4 separate regions of the Mus musculus genome follow, and regions 2, 3 and 4 are each reported to be linked to region 1. Evidence: microRNA targets listed by miRTarBase, many of them from high-throughput screens and not tested one by one. Region 1 holds a microRNA gene; each other region holds the end of a gene's coding sequence.

Region 1 (4,200 bases):
TGGATGTTTCGTGATACTAGAATGGTTTCTATCTGTGGTGGTGTAACATGCTAATCTTCATCCCTCTATAGTTTATCTTAAAAGATGAATTAGAGAACAGTGCAACTTTCTAATGAACATGTGCCCATGTCTATAATCCTAACAATTGTGAGGCAGCAGCAGGATTGCTACAAGATTGGGGTCTCCTTGATCTTTGTAGGTAGTTACTAGACAGCCAGGACTACCTAGCAAGAAACAAAGAAGGAAAACCACAAATCTCGTGCTTCTTAGAGTCCATGCCAAACCTCAAATCCTTTCACGACCACTCCAAGTTGTCTTCTTCATATGTCTGCCTGCTCCAGTGAAGAGATGGATCCTTTCATAGAAAGCTATTCTAGCAGGGTGTACATTCTGCCCTCTGTGGTGCTTTGAAGGAACACCGTGGCCCTACCTCATGTATTTGAACACTCATATCCCAGGTGGTGGCTACATTTGGGAATGTAATGGGACCTTTCAGAAGGAGAACCTTGCTTGAGGTGTGTCACTAGGGGCAAGACTGGGGTTTTCTACCCTGGTTCCACTTCCTGTTCTCACTTAGCTTACCACACTGAGGCCATGCCTGCTCTGTTACTATATCCTTCTGGAGCTATGAGCAGCAATAAAATTATAAATGGAGGTATGGGGAAAGCGGGTAAAGGAAAATGAATACCAACCATAACAGCACACCCCAGATTTTAAAGACGAAGCTCCTACTCAGTGATCACTGTAGTCCAACCTAGGGAGTAATCGGTAGCGATTATAGTAACAACAACAGAGATGCAACAATGACAAGCAGGCATTTCCAAAACACAGGCATAAATACAGTATTTCATAGAAAATATCACATTTATGGTACATGAGCTATTATCCCTTCCTTCCACACCCTCAGGATAGAAAAGAACCAGATATGGAATCCTTTTTATAAAACACAGTCGAGGCACAATTATCAATCAATTGGAATTGGTTTGAAAGGTAAAATATATCCACTATGATTATACTACACAGAACACAGGAATGAGCTGCAGAAATAAGGACGCTGCGGAGAGCTTGAACGTTGAAGGCCACTGGCAGGAACAAGCTGAGCCCATGGAGATCACAGAGCAGGCGCCCAATTAATGTCTGTTGATGATTCATTTTTTCATTCAACAAACATTTAATGAGGCCTACAATGTGCACCGGATTAGGCACTGTGAGTACAAAGTCACCATCCTTGCCCTTACGGATTAGTTTGATAGACGAGAGCCATAACCTCGGACAATGATAATACAACCTGCTAAGTGCTAGAACACTTAGCAGGTTGTATTATATCCACCCGAGTAGGATTTCTTCAGAGGAACACCACTCCAGGTTGCTGCGCGATCCATGAAGTTCTCCTGATCACCAAGGCCAGCTGTTGTTTCTTGCTCTCCAGGGATGACAGTCACAAGAACTAACATAGCTAGTTATCAGTTAGAATTCGGCTTCAGGTCAACTGTGACCATTCCCCAAACATCCTTTTCTGTGTTTATACAAAAACCTTTATTCAGCTATAACACAAGTTTTCAAAAGCTTTTAACTTAGAACAAAGAAGAAAGGCAATAGATTACTAATCAAGAGCATGAATGGAAGAATCATCGAGTTTCCTACATGGGCTAACTTCACATTAGTGAATCATTAAAAACGTCCATGATCCCTCCCCACAACACCATTGACCATTCAAAAGGTATAATAATAATTAACTTTCTTCTTTTAATTCTTGCATTGCCCGCTCCATCATTAACAGCAACAATAACTAAGATAGCATTGAGTGGACGCAATTAACAAACAGGCCAGCTAATGCCTATGCCCAAACCCTAGAGTCACTGTTTGCATGCACACTTCAGAGCTTCCTTTCCCAAATCTGAACCATTTACTTAAGTAAAATTGTCCTCATTATAAATGCATTATTTGAATAGTAAAGATCAATACGATAGGTCTGAGTAGAAAACATGTTCATAGATTTTGTTGTTTGTTTCAGTCAGGGACTTGTTATGAAACCCAGACTGGACTCAAAGTCAAGATGGTCTTCCTGTATAAGGACCCGAAATGCTGGGATTCTAGGCATGTGCCAACATGCCTTGCTTTATAATGCTTTGAGATCAGAAACCCTAGAGTGGATATTACACATATCTGATGCTTCAAAGTAAAGCAATGAACATTTCAAGTCTCTAAACACTTCAAAAGAAAAATAAAGTTCAGGAGAAAGCCTGCCAGTGACAAGAGACTATTCAGATGAGAATGATGGGGCACCGCTGCTATCTCCGTGTCTTACTGAGGATTGGCAGTTCCTAGATACGGCTCTTCTATGGAGAAGAAACTAAATGTATATCTAAGGAATGAGAGGATGGCAGCTATCCATGACAAAAAATTCCTTCCCTGTAAAACTCTCCTCCATATATCCTACCCCAAACCTCTTAGCGAGTAACTAGTCAGCCTGTAAGGTTTAATCTATATACCTGAATATCTCTCATCTTTGGGACTAATTCAATATCCTGACTACTGAGAGAACTGAATAATAATAATAATAAATGATTTGAACTGTGGACAAACATTTAGATCAACATGAAAAAGTGATCTGAGAGGGAAACAGACTCTTAAAAAACCCCTTGTAGCCCCGACAAAAGTTACTCATGAGTTAAAAGACATTTGTTGGCAGCATTATCAATAAATAATCTTAGCCTGGGGTTTAAGATTATAGGGTAATAAGCACCTTGAAATTGAAGACCCTTAAGGTGTATCTATATTCATAGTTAGAAGTTTAAAATGGACAGACAATCTGGTATAAATCGTCATGTCTCTGAGCCAAGTAGGAAGATGAACAGCAGCTCCAGTGTCTTGAGCCCAATTCTCATCCATACTCAACTAAACACAACCTTGCAGTATAACCCATTTTCTGGCAGTCCCTTAGACAAGGAGCAGAAAATACCTTTAAACGAATTCAAGGCCAATAAGGATGTCTGGATACAAATTTCTCCAACAATATGTTACTGAAAACTTAAGCCTTCAGAACCACTGATTAAAGTTTGCATAAAAGCTACATTACCTAACATAGTAAGAGACTATCAATCTTTCTTTCATTCCTTGTTTACCCTGTTGAGACAGGGTTGCTCGATGTAGCCCTGGCTGTTCAGGAACTGGCTTTGTAGACAAGGCTGGCCTTGGATCATTTCAAGGTAGACAAAGGGAATGTATCCTTGATGTGATTTTCCCATTTACAGATTATGTTTATAAAATACTGTTTGTAATTTTCATTGTCAGCTATTCCAAAAACAAAATGTAGAAGTGAATAATATTGCCTGTTTTTTTTGTGCTAGAGATTAAGCCCTTTGTAACACACATGTTGGGGACATGCTCTACCATGAGCAGGCAACAGGAACATCCTCCAAAATGCTCTATCCCACATACCCAGAGTTCCTGCGCTTGTTTTCTACATATATATTAGATATGCAAGGGTAGACTATAGTCTTCCTGGTGCACAGAATTTTTATGATTGTGCTTAGGTGTTAGATAATTGCCTTTAAAACCTCACTGGAATGCATCAGAAGGCTGTTGTGGTGATCATTAAATGGGAACATATCAAGTGGAGAAACAAAGTTTTACTAGAAAATGGGGACCATCAAAGCGGTTAAGGATTAAAGTTGATTTTCAAGATTAAGGTGTACAGGCCGGGGGTGGTGGTGCACGCCTTTAATCCCAGCACTCGGGAGGCAGAGGCAGGTGGATTTCTGAGTTCAAGGCCAGCCTGGTCTACAGAGTGAGTTCCAGGACAGCCAGGGCTATACAGAGAAACACTGTCTCGAAAAACAAAACAAAACAAAACAAAACAAAACAAAACAAAAAAAAACAAAAACCAAACAAACAAAAAAAAGATTAAGGTGTACAAGAGCAGGACTTGCCCAGCATGTGCAAGGTCCTGGGTTAAAGCCTAAGCACATTTAACCACAAAACACTCTAGGTAGAAGAAAGGGCTGCACGGAACTATGTATTCTCATCTCAAAGACGCTCAAATGGAAAATCTTCAGTATCAATTATCACAAAAAGACAATTATTGGTAAAATATAAGTTATAATCCAACATATATAGCAAATAACACTCGTAATAAGTCTTAAGCATTGTACAAAAAATTAAAGTGTCTTAGAAGAATTCTATAGTTAGGGTACATAA
Region 2 (4,000 bases), not on the chromosome of region 1:
TGAAGAGGATTACAACTGTTAAAAACCATATTTGACTTTTAATTTTGAAAACAAATTAAATACAGTTAAATAAAAACAGACCAGATGGCGCAGCAGCTTGGGCCCCACCCTCACACCAGCCTTTGCCCATGGTGCTCCTGAACCCCTGGCTTAACTCTTCTGTGGTGGGGCTTTCCATCGAGGGAGCGGGGTTGCAGCCTGGGTTTGGAGGGAAAGTTGTCATCATGGACCCAGTTCTGATTTGCAACAAACTCATTCCCAACAGAGATGAAGGCCGCAGTCCACCAGGGTTATAATTTTAAATAAATACACATGCAGTGAAGGGAGGACATTACATGAAAACAACTGAAGTAGCATCTGCCAAAACGTGAAAAGTAAAAATCCCCATTTTTGTTTTGTTTTGTTTTGTTTTTTTTCAGTTTCCTAAAAAGAGCACTGAGTTTGGCTAAGAAGGCAGCCTTAGCAGCCCGTTTGACCTTGGCATTCACTGACAGTTTCTATGAATGAGCAGTAGGGTGCCCAGACATAAATTCACCCATCGGATAAATTCCCGGTGCCTCTCATTTGATGCCAAGGAGTAAATTTCCAAAACAATATCCAAAGTATAAATGGCTAGGGGGAGATGTCCTACAGGGGGCTGTGGGGTCTGATCCCATCAGGTGGTGTCCTGAAGACTGTGAGAAGTTAAATTCATTTCAACATAGGCAGCTGATGCTATTCTCTGAAAGTTAGATGTGTGGACTGAGTCTCATCCACCCGAGAGTGGATTCGGAATGACTCCCGGGCCTGTCCTATGAGTTTTAATGGAGCGCGGGGGGAGGGGGAACTGGGGGAAGGTGCGGGGTGGGGGGAGCTGTTAGCAGTTAAAAAATAAACGCCTCTTCAGTGGGCTTGCGCCCTTTCCTTTCCCCCACTTGGGAGGAAAATTGTGCTTCCAACTTGTAGGAGCTGGAGTGAGATTACCACCAGAGGGCCCCATGTAGCCAGGACCAGGGGCCTCTCAGATGCTGAACACCCAGGCAGATGGTTCTTTTGGGCGGCTGGGTAGGTGCAACAGCGTGAGCATACTGTTCTGTCCGGGGTGGAGAAGGGGCAGTGGGCACGAGGCGGGTTGGCTTTGCAAGCTTTCCCATTTTGTGTGAGACAGAGTGATTTCTAAAGCAGTATGTGCTCAGGTCGCCCTTCCTCTCAGTGTGTAGACATTTCCTGCTCTTGACCTTGAGCCCATTCTAATGCAGCCCTCACAGAATCGGCTCAGGAAAGGACTGGGATTGCTGGGTCTCACATTTTTTCAGGAAGAGCTCTGCCTCTTTATTATTGTTATCTGCGCCCCGAGATCTGTGATTCTTAGGGGTTTCAGGAAGAGGGCAATTGTCTCCTCAGTCCAAACCCAGCAAGGGGCATTGCAGCCCAGGGGTACTGGAGAGGCAGTGGGGACACTGGGGTGACTTGGTTCTTAATCCAGGTCGATCTATGACCTGTGCTGGCTCTAAGCCCACCACCTTGCCGATTCTGGCGCAGGAGGCTTGAGGGACATGGGAAAGGGCTTTGTTCTCCTACAGCCTGAGGTACAGGGGGAGCTGTAGGAAGGCCCAGGCTCCCCCAATGCAGGGTAGGGTGCCAGGTGGGATCCAAGACAGCCTTATGTCCTGTAAACATGAACCAGAGGAGAGCCAGAGGTATTTCTGATTTGGGAGCAGCTCTGAGGAAGAGCAGGTGTGAAAGAGGAGTGTTGGGGCATCTTCATGCCCCAGGCTGCTCTCTGGTCTTCAGAATGTCCTGGCTGGGCACATGCTGTATAGTCATGCTAGGCCCAAGAGCAGGGAGCCATGGAGAGCCATGCTGCACTCCACAGTAGGGTTTTCTGACCTCCCTCACCCCAGTATCACTCCAAGGCAGGGTCCCCTGCTCACACAGCCCCATCAATGTAGGAAGCTTCCAAGGAGATGTGCCGAGCACAGGCTTGGCTGGCAACCGGAATCCCCAGCTCTCTGGTCTTTTAAGCCCCTGGCCATGTTGCTGTAGAGGACCACAGGTCTGGGATTCTGTGCTTAAATTCTCTGTCTTTTATCCTGACATCAAGCTGGGCTCTCTTGGAAGCCCTCGGAATACATAAGAGTTGTTCCTCTGGAGTCTGCCTCAGAGTGACTATCAGCCATGGGAGAGGATGGCAGGCCAAGATCAGGGTCTGAGAAGGAGGTTCCTGTGTGGGGAAAGTAGGAACAACAGGGGTGTCAGCTTGGGGCAAGGTGGAGCTGGAGCTGCAAGTAGAACAGAATGCTTGATTCCAAGCCCCTAGTGGACGCCATGGTGCCTCCCGGGTTCCCCTTGGAGACATTTTTGAAAAGCAAGTGGTAGCAGTTCTTCTAGTAACATATAAGGGCAAAAGATGGGATGAAGCTTTGGACCAAGGCATTCTAAGATGCACTGGCCAAGGATTTCAGGATTCAGGATGACACCCTGTAGTCCCAGAAACATAATGTCTGCAGATGTACTAAGGCAAAAATTTAATGTAATTGTCTGCTACGAGCCCCTGGATCTGTGATAGGGTCTAGAGTAGCAAATTCTGGAGCAGTGGATACAAGAGGCAAGAGCACAATAGGCCCCATAAAAATATTTTGCTTGGCCAATCATTTAGCATAAATCTCTTGGGTTAATGTGTCACTTTGGGCACGTTGTTTAGCTTTTCTGACAGCACTGTCACCTCTAAAGTGTAGGCAGATACTCTGACCTAATTGAAAGGGATATAAACAATTAAAAAAAAAGATCTATTGCATAGGATTTGTTACATGGCAGAGATTGATTTCAGTGCTCTCCACCTAAGAAAAAGCCAGGAGCAGAGAAATGTCACTAGGCCAAACAGAAATGTGGCACCTTGGCTTGGGAGTGGGCTCTAGGGTTTGCCTAGTGAGCTCTTTCACCTGCTATTGAAAGCTACAGGGTGGAACAACAATATGAACTAATCAGTACCCCCCTCTCCCCCCGAGCTCGTGTCTCTAGCTGCATATTTATCAGAAGATGGCCTAGTTGGCCATCAGTGGAAAGAGGCCCATTGGTCTTGCAAACTTTATATGCCTCAGTACAGGGGAATGCCAGGACCAAGAAGTGGGAGTGGGTGGGTGGGGGAGTGGGTGGGGGAGTGTGGGGGGGACTTTTGGGATAGCATTGGAAATGTAAATGAAATAAATACCTAATAAAAATATGGACAATAAAAAAAGAAAGCTACAGGGATACTGATCTGGTGTGGTGCATCCTCATCACAACTCTATGTTAGAAGTTATCCACAGAACCCCGTGAGCAAGTCCATACTGCACCTCGTCTCTGTGGGTCACACCCCATGGCCAGCAGGACAATAACAAAGAAAGAGTGACACTAGCAGGACTCAGCTTTATGCATGGAAGCAGCCAGTTGTTGGGGACAGAATCTTTGGCCATGCTTCTGCCCACATGGGTCTTGGGCTCCCACAAGACCCAAAGGAAGAGTCCTTGGAGATGGAGGATGTATCCCAAACTGGTGCCACTTGTCTATTGCACTGGCCACTCTGGCCTTCTCTCCTACCTGCATCTTTAGTTTCAGATCTCCACTGAGGGGTCGGTGAAGCCCTTCTTCCCCTCATTGACCAGCACTGGCTTCTCTGTTCGTGTATGCCAGACCAAGATCTGCATATCCGGAGACACAAAAGAAAGTGGTGCTGATCCTCAGAGCATTCTGTCACCCTCTGGCTCCCTTCCACATGTGGCAAGTATTTCTTCTGCCCCCTTCCTTTCTACTTCTGTTCCATCAAGGTTTTTAAACCGTCCTTCACTCATCCCCTCTTTCTTGCTGTTTGTATATGTGACGCATTCAAAATGTCTTCTGAGACCAAGAAAATCTAAGCTACAGAAAACAGACACATCTCAAGATTTCTCAAGTCTTCATGTGTGTATGTATGTACATGTATGTATGTATGTATGTATGTATGCATGTATGTATGTATGTATGTATGTATGTGTCTATGTAC
Region 3 (4,000 bases), not on the chromosome of region 1:
AGTCTCCCTGTAACAATTATTGGCCTCAAAAGGAAGAGATTCTCAGTAAAGAGCTGTTGGCAATTCTCAGTAGTGTTCAAAACAACAGTATGGAACAAGATTAAAAAAATCAAGCCAAGGTGGACCTACTTTAACTAAACATCAGGCATCACTTTTATTTGTGGAAAGAATATCGAAAGTTAGAATGAAAATTAGCATAGTTTAACACAGACTGTTAAAAGAAAATACTGTCAACATCATTTTATCTGAGAATCATTTGTATACTGTCATATTTGTGCTAGAAATCAAAAGAACATTTCTTGACAAAAGGATGTAGGTAATCATTTCCTGGAAAATTATCTACTTGGAGATTATTTGGGAAGAAGGAGTTCATAACATAACTTCACCATGATTATCCCGACCCCACAGTGACTGTGACTACACAAAACGGCACTGGTCACTAAGAACAGACAGCAGAGATTATGTAAAAAATAATAAAAATAATAATTGTAACAACAAAAAGCAAGTTTTAAATTAAACTCTCAAAGAGGGAGGACTAACCTTGAACAGAAGGGCCACTGCCTAAAGCTCATATCCAGTAAAGAGGACAGTTAGAAGACAAATAACAGATCCTTAAAATTCAACTGTATTAAAAACCATGTAAAGCTGTTAGACTAGAAAAGACACACCACACTTTCAACAATATAATTTTTACCGCTCAAGTATCAAAATGAAAATACAAGTCTAATAAAAAAACCAGTTCCCTAACTCACCAGTCTCCGTCCTTGTAGCTTTTTAGTTTTCTGGATGATGGTTGTTCACATTACCCAAGGCAAAGTGGATAATTTTCTGATATCACTTAAGGGATTTTTAAATCCCTTAGACCCTTCAGCTGGGGCTAGAAGATGGCCATGGTTAAGAGCATTTGCTTCCCAGCACCCACATGGAAACTCCTAGGAGTCTGCAGCTCCAGTTCCAGGGAATCTCACACTCTCTTCTCTTTGGGCTTCTACAAGCACTAGGCCCGCATGTAGTGCACTTACATACATGTAGACAAAACTCTTAAAATAAAAATAACCTAAAAAAAGTCTCGGCCTTCACTGTTAAAAGCTTACAAGTCTTATACTGATGAATGAATCAACTAACAAATAGGACACATAGGGGAACATTAAGGAAAATTAGAACTCTAACATTAACCCTTTGGAGAGCACTTGTCCAACACAACATCATTCCACGATCTCAAAGAATAAAATACCCATCCCCAAATATATCCTCCCTTGCCTTGGCTAACAAGGATTCTGTAGAAACTTCACTAGCTTGACTAACTTGCCCACCATCTTTGAAAGGCAAAAGCCTGAGGTGGATGGAATCTTAAGCTTTAGTTTTTGATAGGCTGCAAATTTTCAGACTAAGTTTTAGTATTAGAAATGTAAACAGTATTATGCCAGACAGAGAAAGGAACAGAGAGGAGGAGTGGGGAAAGGGAGAAGGGTAGAACACAGACACAGAAGATCCTGTTATTTTACACTCCTTGGGGGTTCATTTTGGAAATTGTAGTAAAGGAAGAAGATCTGAGAATTATTCCACCATGCTTATGACATAAAGACCCTTCCAAGGACAGCCCCCATGTGCTGACTAAATATAATTCCTATCTAAATGACTCCAGTGTTCCCACTGATCTCACTCTTAATACACATAATTCACAACCACAAAGTTAATCTGGATTTTGTATAGTTTGGTATAAATTTAGCAGTGTGATTACAGGCAATTATTTTAATAATTCCATCTCTAAATTATATCTTCATTTACTTCCAGAAATTGTGAAGACGTTAGAAATGTTTAATGAATTGTTTTATGAAAATACCACAAGTCACATGAAATGTTTCTTTTTCTTTACAGGGTTTGTCTTCAGTATCGGAAGAGTTTCAAATCCCCTTGACTAAAATAGCAGACCTCAAGAATGTTTTCTCTATGTATGCTTTCCTTCATAAATATTTACAATTTCTTTTAAGAGTATGTGATTTCCAAATATTATTAATCTAAAAATAATTCAATTAAAAAAATAATTTAAAGGGTATTTTTTTTCACCTTGGTTATTCCAAATCTAAAAACTCTAACCTTTTCTACTGGTTCCCTCCAAACCACTAAAAGGCACGGCAGTGATCTATGAATATGTGCATGAGTCAGGACACATGGTCACATCCTTAGTAAAGATGTGCAGCCCTGTGAGGATGGAGAATGGAGTGCCAGATATCCTCATCCTGTGCAAATAAGGGGGAAAGAAATGAGTACAGCCGTCTAAGTCTGTTTCCTCTCCAGTTAGATTCTGAGAATCAGGGAGCAGAACCAAGAGATCCACTCTGAATTATCATATTATAAACTCACCTAAGCATCGGGGGAGGGAGGGGACCAAATGTCGGCATACTAGCCTTCTCCAAATATGATATACCCTAAAGCTATCACACCTTAACTAACAGCTAGAGTGCCATCTAAATCCTGTAAGAAAGGTTGAAAGGTGTTAAGAAGCCAATAATGCCCCAACTCATCTACTTTTAAAACTGTTTTTAAAAAAAACTGCCCATCTGTCTATCTGCCACAGACCTAGTAAGTATTACCATTATCCAGGCAAGAGTGGAGTATATTGGCATGGCCAACAAAAACTAAGAACATATAATAGTTAAAAAGACAATGCAGGCTATGTAACATATAATTACATTAGTTTAACAAATATTAAGTTGTGTATTTTTTAATGCTAAAAAGCAAGGCCTTTAAAATTCCATTGTTTTAGAATGTTTTTAAGTAGTTACTTTAAATGTGATTATTTCCTAAACCACACAAGAGTAAAATAGAGCATTTATTGATGGAATAACAAAAGTGCTTTTCTTAAATATTCTTCAAAATACATTTGTACAACTTACAATAATATATCCAAAATAACTGTATATACAAAACATTACCTAGTTTTTAATGTATGTGCTTTTTTTCCCCAAAAATTACAAAGTAACTTGTTTTTAATTTTTTTTCTTTTTTTTTCTTTTTTTGGCAAAGTTCAACCTTAACAGAGCTGACAATTTTAAAGGTTGGTTTAAGAAAATATAACCTGAGGGAAACTGACACGCAAGAGCCAATGACAAGCAGAGGATTTGAAGAATAGTTTTAGTTGGTTAAAAAAAAGAAAGAAAGAAAAAGAAAAAAGGGAAGAAAGAAAAAAAATTTGTGATACTTTTCACTTTACAAAAGTAAGCTAAAATGAAAAGGGCACTGTAAAATGATGGAAAGGAACTGTAGAATGTTTTTAGTATCTCAAATAGCCAACAATGCATGTCAAAGAATGAATACAAGATTACAACAGTCTTGTATTTACTTTGTATTTGGAGAAGACAATGAAATAAGTGGCCTCATTCTATTTTCTTTTAATTGCTATTAATATGGTTGATTTGATTGGCTCTTCGATGAATTTCATCCAAGAAGTTCTCCAGTTGTTCTATTAGCATTCGTTTCTTAAACCTGTGTAAGAAAAATAAGAGCATTCTTAATTACCTACTAATGAACAGTATATACTAGCATGTTTCAAAGAGAAAAACTGGCTTTGGGAAAGAGTCGTTTGTTTTAAAGTAAAATGAAAAAGAAAAGAAGGGGGTAGGGGGAGGCTAAAAGAAGAACTGTGGTAGGAGACTGGAGGTGTGGCAACGTCTGATTTGTAAATAAAAAAGATAATTAAAAAAAAACAAAAACCAATACGTAAAGTCTATTGGCAACTACCTAAACATGAGCTGACCAAGGACAGTACTAACAGACACAGGCTAGAGTGGATGAAGACTCAGGAGGTTTCAGCTCCAACAACGAACTAATGGATAACCAAGGAATGCTGAGAGCAGGACAAAGAGTCTTCTTCCAGTTTCAGGTCTGCCCTGAAAACATAATATTATGTTTTCAGGTAACATTAAATAGGCACATAAATCCTTGAGAAATTATGGACGTTTTCCGTGGTAAATTATTATATTCTTTTAAAATTCTTGAT
Region 4 (4,000 bases), not on the chromosome of region 1:
AAGCCAGGCTGTTTCTTTCCCAGGATCACTTGATTGGACTTTGGCGACAAGAAAGGGCAGAGAGAGGCAGCAGACAATTCTTAGCCGCTGTACCTCACACCTGCCTGGATTTGTGATGTGCTCAGTCCTGTTTGCCAGTGTTAGAACGCACTTATTCAAAGCTTTGTCCCTCCTACCCCCCTGGGTCTTTCTGTAGATAGAGCACAAAAGTGAAAGCAGCTTCCTTAGCAGGGGCAGCAGTTCATTAAAATATACAACCGTGCTTCCTAGCTCTGGGGTTCCCAGCCACACTCGCCGGTGCAGGTCACTGATGCTGTTATTAAGGTTCAGTGTATGATCCATGATGTTTTCTCCTGGCAGCCGGTGTCAAGATTAGTGCTGCCCTGGCCCAGGAGGGAACAGCCTAATGAATACCAACTTAGAACCAGTGCCATCCGCACATTATTTAAGCTTGTACATGCGCACAAGTGCACACAAGGCAAGCGTGCGCGCGCGCGCACACACACTGGCCCTGGCCACTGGTAATGATCACAGGAAACTGTGACAAAAAGGATTGCAAGAAGAAACCAATAAGGCACCAAGAAAAAGGATTTTCTTCCAACTCAGACAACTTCAAAATGTGAGGAGGGAAATTATATAAATTTAAAAAACAAAAAGCCTTCCTAATATCTGGCCATCGGAGTCATTGAGGTCCTGCTTCTTTCTTTAAACTACCTAAATCCTCACTCTCTAATCTGTGAAGCATCCCAGGGGTTGAGAGGTGAGTGAGGTGGCCAAAGGCACGCGCCCTGGATCTGAGACCAACCCTAGTCCTCTCAGCTACACAAGGCTGGCGGTGCACAAGTTGCTGAACTCCCCCAAGGCTTTTCATTTCGCTTCTTGTTATCAGTACAGATATGCAAAGTGGAGGAAAACGTGCGGTGGGAAGAGGGTGGGAAGAGGGGGTAGTCATCCGAAGGCAGCTTCCCTCTTCCCTCCCCTAGGGCTGGCTAGAAACTCCTGTTGGCTTCAGGGAAGCAGGTGCGCTTTGTCTCTCTAAGGGTAAGGGAGAGGGGAGCAGAGGACAGAAAACTCCAGGCCTCTGAAGCTCCATCCAAAGGCATTCCCGGCCTCCAGCTCTAGCATTGCGCCCACTTCAACTGCTGTATTGTTCAAAGGGTATTATTAATCATTCTTTTTTTTTACAGCTTTGGCATGTTGCTTAGATGGAAAAAAATAATCATTCTAAAAAAGATGAATTAAATCACTTTCATCCGCTCCACCCCACAACTTTTAGATACACTGTATGTCCAATTCTCGATTTTCTTTGTGAGAGAGGAACAACCCTAACTATGCACAGCAGACTGAGGGGGGGTGGGTGGGGAGGGAGCAGCAGATTCTGGGAAGACCATGCTAAACAAGGCAAGAGGGCAAGGTGATAAGAAAAGAACCTCATTTGAAAAACAGAAGTGGTGCATAGCCAGTGAGTGTGTTGAGGTTCCCGGAAGGAAAAGGGCATCGGAATAAGACCTTCACAGAGTCCTGCATCTAGGTGTACAAGGTCTTGTGGAAGCCACTGAAATTCTAATTCTGACTCCAGTGAGCGAGGGCAGAGTATTTTACAAATGTGAACACCCTCTGACTGCTTACATTCCCAGTGGGAACTACGCTTTTTTCCACTCAGTCCCTGGGGCATAAAGCTGGCTCAGGCTTAACTCTCCCTACCCCCAACCCACCCCCCAGCTGCTGCAAAAGAAAATCGGGATGCCTAGACTCCAGCTGTTTCTCTAGGAAAGCTTGGTGACATTTCAGTGGCTTGGCCATTTTAGATCCCTAAATTCAGTCCCCGCTCTGCCTTGGTCACTGGTACGCCCTGCCATTTCCTTCCCAGTAATGGCCCCACACTCTTAGTGAATGAATAGTTAAATAGATTAGGAAAGCAAACAGACTCTTCTAATAGCAGGGAAACTGGGTAAGGGGGTGTCCATCACTATACAGGCTCTCTCAAAAGGGGGGGGAAAGAAACCTGGTCTCTCCAGCAGTGGCTTTACACTTACAGTAGCCCCCATATTACAAAGCTTAAGTTAGGAGTCTTGTTGGTTTTCAGGCTACTAGGGCATGGTGTAGCTGCTTTGGGGAATATATCTATCTGGCTTTAAACCTTGAGTTCAGGGCCATTTGTTTTCCCCCTGAGCCAAGGTTTGTTCCCAGGTAACTAACCTCCCTCCCCCAGTCTGAGCACTTCATTGGTGGGTGGGTGTGGTTTCTAATCACCACTCTCCACCAGGAGGAATAAGAAAAGCAAGGAGGACTGTTTAACATGATAAAGGAGGTGGGCCGGAGCCGCAGATTCGAAGCAATGGGAATTTACTTTAATTACTGGAAGCATATCCGTTTTTTGTCCTTTAATCTAAAAGAGAGCCCCCTTTAGCAAAGAGTCCTAACTACTTCCAGAAAAAGGGAGTGAATTTATTTTTACTGAAATTTGTAGCCTAATTTTTTATTCTCAAAAGCTCGGGGGTGGGGGGTGGGGGTGGGGCTCTCTGGAGCATCTTAAGAGCCACCCTCTCCAGCAGAAGGCTCACCACCTCACTAGTTCAGAATTCACATTCAGCCAATCCCCATCCCTCAGGCTCCAAGGCAAATGTTTAGGTCCGCTCTATAATGCCTCCTCTAACTTATTCAAGACACGACAAGGGCGGCTGGCTCTATCGGGGATGAGAAAGATGGCAGCTCGGCTGCCAAGAGCCCAACGCTTGCTGAGCAAGGTTAAGGAGGCTCACAAAACTCTAACCTTATCATGTGAGGGATGGTCCTAACCACATCATGGTCTACTTTCACAGAGGACTTGAGGGGGCTAGACACAGAAAGAGCAGATGGCCTCTGGCCTCTAAGTGTCCTGGACATTTTAAGCACTGTAAGAAGAAACTACCTTAAAACACACACACACACACACACACACACACACACTCCACACCTTCCCACTCACAGCAGCCTTTCACTGTTCACATTTATAAAAAAAAAAAAAAAAGACACGTATAGGAAATATATTTTCCTAATTTAGACCACACAGTCCAAAAAAACCTGAACCAACAGTAACCTCATTACAATGCCAATTTGAGGATTATGTAGCCCCCAAAGCAAAGGTAAATTTTGTTGCCAAAATGCAACAAAGTTAAAACTTAAAATACATATAAATTAAAAACAAGGTACTTCTAAAGAAAGCAGTAAGAAATGCAAACTAGAATACACTTAACCCACTGCCCTGCGAGCCGAGCCCCCTGTAGAAGACTGGGGACAGGTAATCTCTTGAAACCGCCCCCTTTTCCTCTCCAAGCCACTCTGGGAGGGGGCATCAGCACCAAGAAGGTAAACGGAAGTGACCTTCACAAAGCTACCAAGCGAAACAACTGCCCCCTTCAACTTCCAGCACTGTCCCTGGGCCTCGGCCTCCAGGCCTTCCTATACGTGCGACAGGGACACTTGCTTGTGGTATGCGGCGGTGGGGCCAGGCGGCCCGGTCCTGCCGGTGAGCGCGGCGCTGGCCTCCGCATAGTCTCCTGCGGCCATAGCGCCACCGCTCTTGTGGCCCCGCCGAGAGCTGCAGCAGCAGCGGCTGGTGAACCGCCGCCAAGACTCCAGAGTCTTGCCGGACCAGATCCAGACTCCCGACGTGATGCCCACCACCAGGCACATGAAGTACTTGAGCATGAGCACCCAGTACTCGGGTTTGGCGCGTGGCTGGCCAGCGTCCGGTCCCGGACACGCGCAGGTGAGGGCTGCCTCCCAGCTCTCCCGGTAGTGCTGCTCATACAGGTAGCAGGCCACCACGATGCTGGCTGGCACCGTGTAGAGCAGGGTGAAGATGCCGATGCGGATCATGAGCTTCTCTAGCTTGTCCGTCTTAGTGCCACCCTGCTTGATGACGCTCCGGATGCGGAAGAGTGACACGAAGCCTGCCAGAAGGAAGAGCGTGCCCACCAACAGGTACAGCACCAGTGGGCCCAAGACAAAGCCTCGT

What was found. The annotated mature microRNA mmu-miR-374b-5p reads AUAUAAUACAACCUGCUAAGUG and lies in region 1 at 1,305-1,326, opposite strand. An mRNA with a match to its seed (bases 2 to 7 or 8) in the 3' UTR can be bound and repressed. Matches are read on the target gene's strand: a 7mer-m8 pairs with bases 2 to 8, a 7mer-A1 pairs with bases 2 to 7 and ends in A, and an 8mer does both.
Region 2: miRTarBase lists B3gat1 as a target of mmu-miR-374b-5p. Seed matches in the 3' UTR shown: 7mer-A1 at 291-297.
Region 3: the mRNA of Ints6 is a reported target of mmu-miR-374b-5p. The part of its 3' UTR that is shown has no 7-base or 8-base seed match.
Region 4: the mRNA of Fzd5 is a reported target of mmu-miR-374b-5p. The part of its 3' UTR that is shown has no 7-base or 8-base seed match.

What each region holds. Positions count from the first base shown.
Region 1 is chrX:103,571,808-103,576,007 of GRCm38, forward strand. It overlaps Mir374b (microRNA 374b), which reads right to left and starts at 1,347; the gene lies at 1,253-1,347. All of the region lies in intron 9 of Ftx (Ftx transcript, Xist regulator (non-protein coding)), which reads right to left. Mir421 (microRNA 421) reads right to left here and starts at 1,189; the gene lies at 1,114-1,189. Mir374c (microRNA 374c) reads left to right here and starts at 1,278; the gene lies at 1,278-1,326.
Region 2 is chr9:26,757,352-26,761,351 of GRCm38, reverse strand. B3gat1 (beta-1,3-glucuronyltransferase 1 (glucuronosyltransferase P)) reads right to left here. Exons shown (of 7, transcript NM_001310766.1): 6 at 3,559-3,659; 7 at 2-2,203. The coding sequence ends at 3,573. Among named protein-coding and RNA genes, the nearest start is that of B3gat1, 26 kb to the right of the region's middle.
Region 3 is chr14:62,690,189-62,694,188 of GRCm38, forward strand. It overlaps Ints6 (integrator complex subunit 6), which reads right to left. Exons shown (of 19, transcript NM_008715.2): 18 at 3,344-3,486. The coding sequence ends at 3,393. Serpine3 (serpin peptidase inhibitor, clade E (nexin, plasminogen activator inhibitor type 1), member 3) reads left to right here. Exons shown (of 9, transcript NM_001199945.1): 9 at 1,879-2,055. The coding sequence ends at 1,922. Among named protein-coding and RNA genes, the nearest start is that of Serpine3, 29 kb to the left of the region's middle.
Region 4 is chr1:64,731,402-64,735,401 of GRCm38, forward strand. It overlaps Fzd5 (frizzled class receptor 5), which reads right to left. Exons shown (of 2, transcript NM_022721.3): 2 at 1-4,000. The coding sequence ends at 3,442. Among named protein-coding and RNA genes, the nearest start is that of Fzd5, 4.3 kb to the right of the region's middle.